Zea mays: one gene and its partners. The main gene of each other region encodes a partner of the protein of the gene in region 3 in a complex. Links are inferred from orthologs where the notes say so. Each region holds a gene or a part of one and is shown on either strand. Other genes may lie near its edges.

The links. The genes of interacting proteins can lie anywhere in the genome.
Region 1: mediator of RNA polymerase II transcription subunit 25 (region 3) and Mediator of RNA polymerase II transcription subunit 31 share a complex: the UniProt entries of both Arabidopsis thaliana proteins name them as parts of the mediator complex. The link is inferred for Zea mays from reciprocal best matches to the Arabidopsis thaliana genes PFT1 and MED31.
Region 2: mediator of RNA polymerase II transcription subunit 25 (region 3) and Mediator of RNA polymerase II transcription subunit 21 share a complex: the UniProt entries of both Arabidopsis thaliana proteins name them as parts of the mediator complex. The link is inferred for Zea mays from reciprocal best matches to the Arabidopsis thaliana genes PFT1 and MED21.

What each region holds. Positions count from the first base shown.
Region 1 is NC_050096.1:207,962,185-207,966,294, reverse strand, and holds the start of Mediator of RNA polymerase II transcription subunit 31, read right to left. Parts: upstream 2,801-4,110; 5' UTR 2,726-2,800; intron 2,603-2,725; 5' UTR 2,571-2,602; coding exon 2,441-2,570; intron 1,963-2,440; coding exon 1,866-1,962; intron 1,790-1,865; coding exon 1,711-1,789; intron 1-1,710. UniProt on the Arabidopsis thaliana protein: Component of the Mediator complex, a coactivator involved in the regulated transcription of nearly all RNA polymerase II-dependent genes.
Region 2 is NC_050099.1:37,998,941-38,002,606, reverse strand, and holds Mediator of RNA polymerase II transcription subunit 21, read right to left. Parts: upstream 2,249-3,666; coding exon 1,955-2,248; intron 1,312-1,954; coding exon 1,240-1,311; intron 1,143-1,239; coding exon 1,091-1,142; intron 1,020-1,090; coding exon 943-1,019; 3' UTR 933-942; intron 759-932; exon of another isoform or gene 756-758; 3' UTR 501-755; downstream 1-500. Other genes in the region: putative X8 domain containing family protein isoform 1 precursor, read left to right, coding at 1-106, 202-227. UniProt on the Arabidopsis thaliana protein: Component of the Mediator complex, a coactivator involved in the regulated transcription of nearly all RNA polymerase II-dependent genes.
Region 3 is NC_050097.1:178,591,914-178,594,431, reverse strand, and holds part of mediator of RNA polymerase II transcription subunit 25, read left to right. Parts: intron 1-1,197; coding exon 1,198-1,251; intron 1,252-1,701; coding exon 1,702-1,730; intron 1,731-1,982; coding exon 1,983-2,051; intron 2,052-2,141; coding exon 2,142-2,226; intron 2,227-2,518. UniProt on the Arabidopsis thaliana protein: Component of the Mediator complex, a coactivator involved in the regulated transcription of nearly all RNA polymerase II-dependent genes.

The DNA.
Region 1 (4,110 bases), on a different chromosome or scaffold from region 3:
CCTGCAGCTTGGTTGGTTTGGCCTGGCCGCCAGGACACTAACGCAGCTGGGCACAAGGTTCCGGACCAGGTAACTAGCCGGTGCAAATAATGCAAGTGGCCAAGTGGCGGCTCCCTCAGCCTACTTGCAGTTGCAAACAAGAGTGGGCTGAGGGCTACTGCTGGGCACCATAGCCAGATCCAACTAATGGCTGTTGCTCCCTGTATGTGCATGCATGCATGGTTGAAACATTGGTCATAGTCCAAAATGATATTTTAGTCATAGTTCAAAACTCTAAAATTCTGCTGGGAGTCATGCATGGTTCAAACCTAGTTATCATGAATGGCTTAACACTTTTTAGAATTTTGGTTATGATCTGCGATGCACAAAGTATTAATAATGCAATTTTGTATTTTAACTATTTATACTTCCAGATATTCCTCGACATACTTCCAAGCATAGACGTGTCTATAAGTTATGACTAATCGTGTTTATTTGAAACAAAAAATAACGAAGACCAACAAATTCAAGAAAAATATTGTTATGCAACTAGTGGGTAGACCTACATTACCCATTGGGTCAACAGGTTCTGGCCCTATCAGCCAATTTAAACTTTGAAGCGGCCCTTTGACGTTTGACCTATTGGCCTTACTTTTGTGGGTCAGGTCGACTACCCAATGGGTCGACCCGACCCATTCCCGTTCCTAGCCATGAACCACCCCACAAGAATAAAGAGATATAAAAAGATGAGGATGAATTGCTTCAAGTTCTTTCGCGTGCTGGAAAAATTGAATAAAGTAAAAGAAGAGTACTCAAGGTTCTCTAGTTGTTCAAAAGAATCTAATGATCCTGACTCAATCTATGATAGATTGGCTGTTTCCCCTATGACTTTGTGGACAACTCATGGACAGCCTATTCCCTTATTGATGAATTTGGCCACCAAATTGCTTAGCCAACCAGCCTCATCTATAGCTTTATCCATAGTGTCAAGAGAAATGCCATAACTCAGAGCATGTTGAAGATTTGGTCTTTGTCTGCCAAAAAGAACTGATGCATATAAGACAGGAGAGACAATGATGTGGGATGTGGGAGGAGATTTTTTTATTCACTTGGTGGTATTGGCATCCTTGAAGTGCCTGACCTCTCCCTTGATGGGCCTGAATTGCAAGCTGTGTCTTTTGGTTTGGGTGATCTCCAGCTTAATGTTGTGGATGAGAATGAAACAAGCAAGACAAATGCGGAATAGGAACTTGGTGCGAGCCTGAATTGCAAACCTGAATGCCTTTTATTAATTTCTTAAATTTGAGACTACTGTATTTGAGAATTGAGACCTGCTGTGCTTTAATTAGAACTTAAATAGTTAAGTAGATTGTGGTGTTTCATTGTTAGATTGCTATCCATTTTAATATGCATTATTATCCTTTTATTTAAAAAATAGTAAAATGTATTCATGAATGGGAATTTTTAGGAAATTGCTGTATCTGTGTATCAGTATCCTTGTGATACCGATACATGTATCAGTATACGTGCTGCATAGTTCTACAAAAGTACTCATATCAAGTTTGTGTGACTTTCTGTTTTTTATAGGTTCTAGAAAGCAAGTCAAAATAATATGGCCCAACAGAGCAACTTCAGCTAGGTTTTGAAAGAAGGGATGACACTGCAAGACGGTAAACAAAAGCTAAAAACGGTGCTCAAGTGTGAACGTGTGATTCTAGGCCAAAAGATCACCTTGTTTGTTGGATGTGCCATTGCATTTCGGAAATTGGCATTTTGGAGAAGCTCAAGAAAGAAAAGGCAGTGTGGATACCTGCATCATCAGCAAAAACAATGAGCAAGCCATTTCCTCTGTTGCAGAAAAAACCACTGAATATGGTATCACTCACATTATGTATTTGATATACTCTGGTCGCTGCCAGTATTTTAGATACTTGAGGTACCCGATAAATGCCTCATCCTCGAAATATCTATTCTGCGCTAGATCTATTTGGGAAAAGAAAGAGCATTCAAATCATCCATGCAGTACCAAACATGATGTGCATTGAACAAGAAAGTTCAAGTAAAAAACAAGGAGCCATGAGGCACACAAAATGATGATATCAAGCAACACTACTAACAATATCACAGCCTTAGCTTAGCAATCATATCCTATTGATAAGAAACCGCTCATGAGGCCCATGCAGACGAGACCAGTTTGAATAGGGGAGAATGGGATTTAGGCTAGTACTAAAAATTCCTAAGCACTCCTAGCTCCCTTCTCAAGCAGGGACTTACTGACAAACACACACTTCTACAAAAATTTTCAGTCCGTTGCAATGGATTGCTAGTTACTAGCAGCACAGCCCCTATCAAAATTGGTAACAAACCGGTACAGGAAAACGTTCTATAGATGCGTGCAACATCAGATTAGCTAATCCCAACAAGGTGAGATGAAACAAGAGAATGGAGGACAGTACAGTACAGTGGATGTAGGTAGGGTTGGCGAGGCACTGCACGAACTCCAACTCGAGTAGGAATCGCTGACTCCCATTGTCAGGGTCCTTGTACGGCGGCGGCTTCCCACCCACGCCAGGGTTCTCGACGTCGGACATCGGGGTTCAATCGGTTGAAACCAGGGGCAGATCTATTAAAGGAACAAGGGTGTACATGTGTACACACATTAATCAAATAGTCTGAGGTTAGAGTTTTGAGAACTCGATTTCGCACAGCAGACAGGGAACTAGGGAAGAGAAGAGGGTGGGAATACTTGGCGGGCGCTCTTCGCCGGCAAACAGATCGGAGAAGGTCTCGGCAGTCGGCACCTGGCGTACGGCGGCGGCGGTAGCCGACCCCGAGAGAGAATGACCGGATCTTGGAAAGAGGGAGTATCGACCTGGACTGACGCACTGTCAGCGGTGCGAGCCAGGCGGCGAACGGACGAGAGGAGGTGCCGTGTGCGGTTGGAATTTTTTTACTTTTATTAATCCTTTTTAAAATTATACTACCTCTAGTTTTTTATATATGACGCTCACCAATTCATTTTTGACTTGTTCGACGACAAATAAAAAAATCAAGGGAGTATTATTTCCTAAAAATAATATAGTCACTCTCTCTTCTCTTCTCTGAAGCACTCTCTGCTACGTAAAGCACTGGTTTTTAAGTTTTCACATCGTCTCTGATAAAAAAGAAGTATTTTTTTTTTAATCTAACTCAATCCAAATATCTTCGCGTGTCGTGGATCACGTACGTAGATTTATTTCTCCCCCGTTTCTCGTCTAATAAAATAGAGAGGGGATAAGACTTATTTTGCTATAGTCAAACTAACCCAACTATAAATCCCTCTTGTAGATCTATCTATTATCGATCATCACAAAGCGCCCTACTCGGTAGATATGCTCGCGCTCCATTGTCAACCTCTAGGACATCTGTCGGCGTCTCGAGACCGGGGGGTCCCTAAGCCGACGAGTGAGTGTGCCGCGTGCCCCAGCCCAGATGGGTCGAGCGCGTGGGCGAGCGCGAAGAGGGGAAGCGAGGTGGCCGGAGACGGGCGTGAGAAAGGTGGAAATCCCGCGGCCTTCGTGTTCGTCCCGCGCCCAGGTCGGGTGCGCTTGCAGTAGGGGGTTACAAGCGTCCACGCGGGTGAGGGAAGCGAGCGGCCCCAAGAGAGCGCCTGTCCCGTCCTCGTCCCCGCGCGGCCAACCTTTTCTAAGAAGGCTCTGGTCCTTCCTTTTATAGGCGTAAGGAGAGGATCTATGTGTACAATGGGGGTGTAGCAGAGTGCTACGTGTCTAGCGGGGGAGAGCTAGCGCCCTAAGTACATGCCGATGTGGCAGCCGGAGAGATCTTGGCACCCAGCTGGTGTGGTGTCGTGGCTGTCGGAGGAGCGACGGAGCCTGGCGGAGGGACAGCTGTCGGAGCGGTTGGGTCCTTGCTGACGTTCCCCTGCTTCCGTAAGGGAGCTGAGAGCCGCCGTCGTCACAGGGCTAGCGGGGCGCCATCATTGCCTATCTGGCAGAGCTAGCCAGATGGGACACCGGTCTTGTTCTCTGCGGCCCGAGTCGGCTCAGGGTAGGGTGATGATGGCGCTTCCTGTTGACGTGGCGGGCATGTGCCCTAGGTCGGGCGACGTGGAGGCTCCTCCGAAGCCGGGGT
Region 2 (3,666 bases), on a different chromosome or scaffold from region 3:
CTGTCGCGGGCGTCGGTGGCCATGAACGCCTACTACCAGGCCCGGGGGAGGAACTCGTGGAACTGCTTCTTCAACGGCACCGGCATAATCACCATCACTGACCCCAGTGAGTGCTTCCTTGCTTGCTGTGAGTGTCTCATTGCCCGTGAACCGTGTTGGGGGAGCTGACACCGGATGATGGATCATTGGATCCTCTTGCAGGCCTTGGCACCTGCAAATATGCTTGACACGACGGGCTGCTCTGCTGCTGCTGTGCTCAACGGACGATGAATAAGGCTGTAGGGGAATGATGCATCTTTTCCTTCTCTTTGTTTTGTTATTGTGTCTGTGTGAGTGAGCAGGGAGTATCCTTGCAGAACCAACCAGTATCATGTCTGAGCACTGTAGAGAGAATTTCCGTGCTTTTATTTCCCAAATACAGTTCTACTCCAGGCCAGTGGCTGGAGGGGAGTTTAGGAACAGGTGTCAAAGGTCTCAGGTACTGAACAAATACCAAAATATAGAAGAAATCCCAGAGGAAGCCAGGTGCCAGATCCATTAAAAAGACCACCACAGTTCAAGCGTCAGTTCATACTAAAAACATTGCACCTTACAACCAAAGGTCAATCCTAATCCGGCAGATCAGAATGCCAGTACACAAAAGCTAAGTGCAATTATTGTTCACTAGTAGAGAATCTGAAAAGACGGAATATAAAGTTCTTACTGGCATTCATCCTCCACACTCCATCCACAGGAACAGTTTCTTTTCAGCAAACCTGCTATGGCAGACATTGGATTTACGTCAACACAATATCTTATGAGCTAGATCGGTTTCCAACACTTGATGCCAAATACATACAAAACCAAGAAGTAACTGTTGGAGCCAAATTAAAAGAGAAATTGACTTTGACAGTGCATTGATAAGTTGTAGGAAGAAATTCATCTCAACTTACATTAACGTAATTAATCTAGCTTCTTAAAATTTATGCAATTGTCTGTTGCTTCATTAAACAGCACCTCAACCTGCTTCAACTCCCTTTCTGTAACGCAATGACATCAGTAATTAGACATATAATAGTAAGAACTCTAGAAACAGTGGGGATCGTGTTACCGGCAGCTTCAAGTTGCTTCTGGAGCTCCAGTCCCACGACTTCATTCTCTGCCTGCAAATTTCAGATTTTCATACAGTTTATTTGGAGTAGGAGTTTGGCAGATGCCCATCCTGTGCTCGATGAATTAATCTGACTGTCTGATATCTACCTGTAGCTCTTGGATTCTTTTCACTTGATCCTCTTCTGATGATAGTGGCACTGCTGCAACAAGTGCATCAAACTGCATAGAAGGCCATAATTGTTCCTCATTTAAGGGGAAAAAGTTGGAACTGCAGCAAGCATAATTTGAACTAAAGTTTGCCAGTCTTTACATTTCAAGTTTTCAACCATGGTTAACACAAAGTGATCTCCCTCACTCCCTCCCTCCCGTATGCATCACTCTACGTCTGTACGCTGTTGTTGGGATAAACATCTTATCTTAGGAAATGGAGCAAGAGATGAAGATTCTACGTCTGTACGCTGTTGTTGGGATAAACATCTTATCTTATGAAATGGAGCAAGAGATGAAGACTCTACGTTATGTACATTGTTGGGATAAACATCTTATCTTATGTAATGGAGCAAGAGATGAAGATTGTTCTGTACACTGTTGGGATAAACATCTTATCTTATGCAATGGAGCAAGATATGAAGACTAGTAAGTGGCAACACGGTTTCATTGTTTGTCTCCACATAACGCGGGCAAGCAAGCAAAAATTAAACAGTTGGTCCTTCACTTATTCGCAGCATCAGACTTACGAGTAAAACTACGAAGCGAGCCGAAACTTTCTACTTAACCACACAAAGATATTTTGGAATCACCGGGCGGGCATTTGGTCCAGAAGATGGGGACACCGAGAAGAGAAGTGGGGCAGGGTACCTACCTTCTTGGCCGCGAGGACGAGGGCGCGGCTCATAGCCTTGGGTTGCTCGGTGAGGTCAGGCGCGGGCGGCTGCGCCTGCGCCTGCGCCTGCGCCGGTGGCGGCGGCGGCGCGCCGGGCTGGGCCTGGACCTGGGGTTTGGAGTCGTCCTCGGGCTTAGGGTTGGGGTTGAGCGGGTCAGGGTAGCTGCTGGAGAGGCGGTCCGGCGGCGCGTCCCTCTGCAGCGTGCCGAAGGTGTTGACGGCCAGCACGGCCATCTCGTCGAGCTGGTCCTGCAGCTGCGTGATGATGTCCATGCCGAATCCCCACCACTCTCTCCCTCTTCTCCTTCCTCCGTCCCAGACTTGCAGGACGGCGGCTTTATTGTAGCAGGCCGATTTCATCCAGGAATGGGTCTGCAGGATCCAGCCCACGTAGCATGGACCAGGCCGGATCTAAAAAATGTATGTGCCGGTATTCAAAAGATGCTCGCTCATATTCCTGGGATACCACCAAGTCTTCCGGTCACCACACATTTGCAGAATGCTGAGCCATCGGCAATTTTACCATTGTCATTTATAGGCTTCATTAATATGACGTCGGACCCTAAATTATAGACACAGATGATTCTATCAGTTATAGATATGGGATAATATAATAAAGTCAAAACTGAGAGTGACAAAATTATAAATTGTTTGGCACCAAAAGGAGCGCGGACGGAGGCCGGACAGTCCGCGGTCCGGACAGTCCGCGCCTGTGGGCCGGACGGTCCGTGCGTGCGCAGAGTAAATTAGGGTTCCGAGTTTTGTGCTATGTTTGTTAGCTAAAATCGCGGGAAAAGCTCGGAAATTAGTTTGTAAAGGGTCCAGCCCCCTCCTCTATAAATAGAGAGGTATACGGCCGATTTGTAATCATCAATCGAATCAATACAACTTATATTTCACATTTATTTCCTGTACAATTAGGAGTAGTTCTAGTCTAGTTCTAGTTTAGCCTCTCGATCCCCAAATCTTCCGCCTCTCCTCGACTCTACGTCGATTAGAGAAGTCTAGGTCAGTCTACCCGAGCCTAGACACCACCTAGGATCTCTCCTCCCCGACGGGGTCCCTCCCGGGAGCGAGATCCAGGCGCCGCCGGCGATCTCCCGCCGCCCCTGCGCACGCGCGGACCGTCCGGCCCTAGGGCGCGGACCATCCGGCCGTCAGGCAGGGAACCTTAGCTCCTGCGCCAGGTCGCGGACCGTCCGGCCCTGTGTCGCGGACCGTCCGCGCCTGACCAGAGAGCACCACCGCCTCGCGCCAAGTCGCGGACCGTCCGGTCCTGTGCCGCGGACCGTCCGCGCCTGACCAGAGAGCACCGCCGCTGGTTTTTTTAAGTGATTGGCGCCTCCAAAAAGGTGTCAACATACTTTTTGGCGACTCCGCTGGGGACACAAATATAGACGCATCAAATCGGCCCTCAATGGCCGGTTCAAGAGATAGCTCTAATATTTCCCCAAGCAACATCATAGAGCCGACTTAGGAGACCTTGCCGGCTGACGAACAGCTCCAGTTCGAGGAGCACAAGGAGCAGATGATCCAGGAGGCAAAAGCGAGGTTCTTGGCCAACTTCAAAGTGGACAGGAACAACAAAGTCGTCCGACATCGGGCGACAGATCCGGCTTCACTGCGACCCACGCCAGACATCCCCAATGTAAGTAATACAAACGAGCTGTAATCTCTTAAGAATTATGTAG
Region 3 (2,518 bases):
TCTTTTAGCATTTACATATACATAGACAGCATCCCACCTCTCCAGTATAACATAGAAATGAGTTGCTTGAAATAAATGGTAAGCACGGTGCAGAGAAGATGACTAATAGGCAATGTTAGCAAGTCGTCTAGCCGATCCTAGCCGCCATGGGGCTGACTAGGTGAGTTGTCGCGATTAGTCGTCGACCAGGGCGAGTAGTCGCAATTAGTTGTCGATCAAGGCGACTAGTTGGCCATAGTTGTCCCCTATTCATCCTATCCTATATATATATCAGGATTAATATACCAAATATATACTTATATACTATATGTTCGAGAGTACAAATCAAGCATGAAGATAACTCTAGGGTGATAGCTGCACGCAGGGTTTCAAATTGGACAGGAAAACACGAGCAAGCCATCCTAGATGCAACCCATGTCCTAAGTTGCTCATCAATTCCAGTTATCCACCTCCTAGTTGTCTAACTAATCAGACGACCAGAAAACTAATCAGCCTAATCGAGTTGTAGCCCCTAGTCGAGTCCAGGATACCAACTAGGACGACTAATCACGATTAACTGGATGACTTGATAACACTGCTAATTGGAGCCTTAGGCCCTGCTGTGGCTATGATACTGTAGTGCAAAAATTGGGAGTTATGTTGCATACAATCTTGTTTGTTGGCCAGAGATTTTCAACAACTGATGTGTCAGGGTCTAAGGAGGCCCACGGAGGGGCTGCGACAGCAGCAACCATGGGCCCTCCAAGGGGATTATATAAGGATAGTTAGAGATAATATTAGAAGATTAGTTGAGATTATTTAGGAGATTAGTTGAGATTATCTAGGAAGGTTATTAGTTAGTAGTTTGTTGAGAGTTTTTAGGAGAGTTTTAAGGAGATAAGGATCTCTAGCTAGATAGGGGCGGCCAGCCGGTCTATTTATGTAATCAATGGATGAGAAATAAAGCAGACAAGAATTAGAAGGGAGAAACCCTCTTCTTGCTCGGCCGTGGGTAGACGCCCCCGGCCGACGTTCCTGCCCATCGACACCCCTCCTGCTTTTCAACTAATCTCCTAAATAATCTCAACTAATCTTCTAATATTATCTCTAACTATTCTTATCTAATCCCCTTGGAGGGCCCATGGTTGCTGCTGCCGCAGCTCCTCCGTGGGCCTCCTTAGACCCTGACATGATGTTTGCCATTTATCTGTATTTCAGGGAACTTTATCTGGCCAAAGGCAAGGACAGCCTGTAATAATTTGTAAACTCGAAGTAAGTCTTTGTTTTGCATTATTGGTCTCCAAAAAAATATAGTATATTGTAAGAAATTATAAAAGTTTCTAGTAGTTTTTTGTTCTGCAGCATTACTTAGCAGAAATAATGGTTCCTGAGTTCCTGAGATATGATGACACTTCTATGCTCTTTGTAGATCTGTATGAACAACACTTCTATGCTCGTTCAACTAAGTTTTGTGATATCTTTGACCCATCTTTTTGCTAAGACTGGAAATAAACTAGTTTTGAATAAACTTCTGAAGTTGTAATCGTGTTTTTTTAAACTTCAGGTAGAGAGAATTTAACCCCTTTAGAAATGGACTGTATCAATTGCTGCGGATGCCCATTTTGAGCCATAGTTTGTTATCACCTTCAAAGCTGGAGTCTTACTTGTGCAGCTCTTTCGCTTTTTTGTTTTGACATTTCTCACTTTAACAATGTCTGACAGGGTTATAGGAGTGGAACAGCGTCTGAAACGTAAGTGTCTGATTTTTTGCAATAAACCTTACATTTTCTTGAATCTCTGTTATACAGTGTTTTCTGTTGATTACTATGATTGAGGTAAGTATTTCTTGTTAGTTGATGTTATGTTGTCGTTGTCCTTGTCTTGAAAGAAATGATACTAGAAATTTTCATTGGGTATGTTTAACAATGGAACCTTTTTGTGGTACTTTCGAATTATGCATCTAGACTTAGTAGGAAACTGAAAGCCGTACTTTCTGCATGCAGACTTGCAGCGGACTGGCCAGAAACAATGCAGATTGTTCGCCTCATAGCCCAGGAGCATATGAACAACAAGTTTGTTACTCATTCTTTTCAATGCCAACTTGTTGCATCATTTTCTTGTAAATGTGCTGTGAATGACATATTTACTTGGTTATTCTGCAGACAATATGTTGGCAAGGCAGACTTTCTAGTTTTTCGGACTTTAAATCACCATGGGTTTCTTGTACAACTACAAGAGAAGAAGCTGGTCAGTGCCTGAGTCTATTTCTTTTTAGTCTCTACTGTATTTAAGTGGGAAAATCGTTGTGCATTGGGTCTCCCTCAGCGCGGCGCAGCGCTCTCCCACGGGAAAAAAAATAAGAAAAAAGAGAGCATACTAGCGCTCGAACCGTGGCCCTCTTCTATAGATATTCTAAATATTGTGTTACACAGAGGATAAATATTGTAAATATATATACATACTAATACATTTAAATTTAAAAAAATATAATCATGCCACGTCGGACCGGGCCGGCACTATAGACTGAGACGGTGGCTCA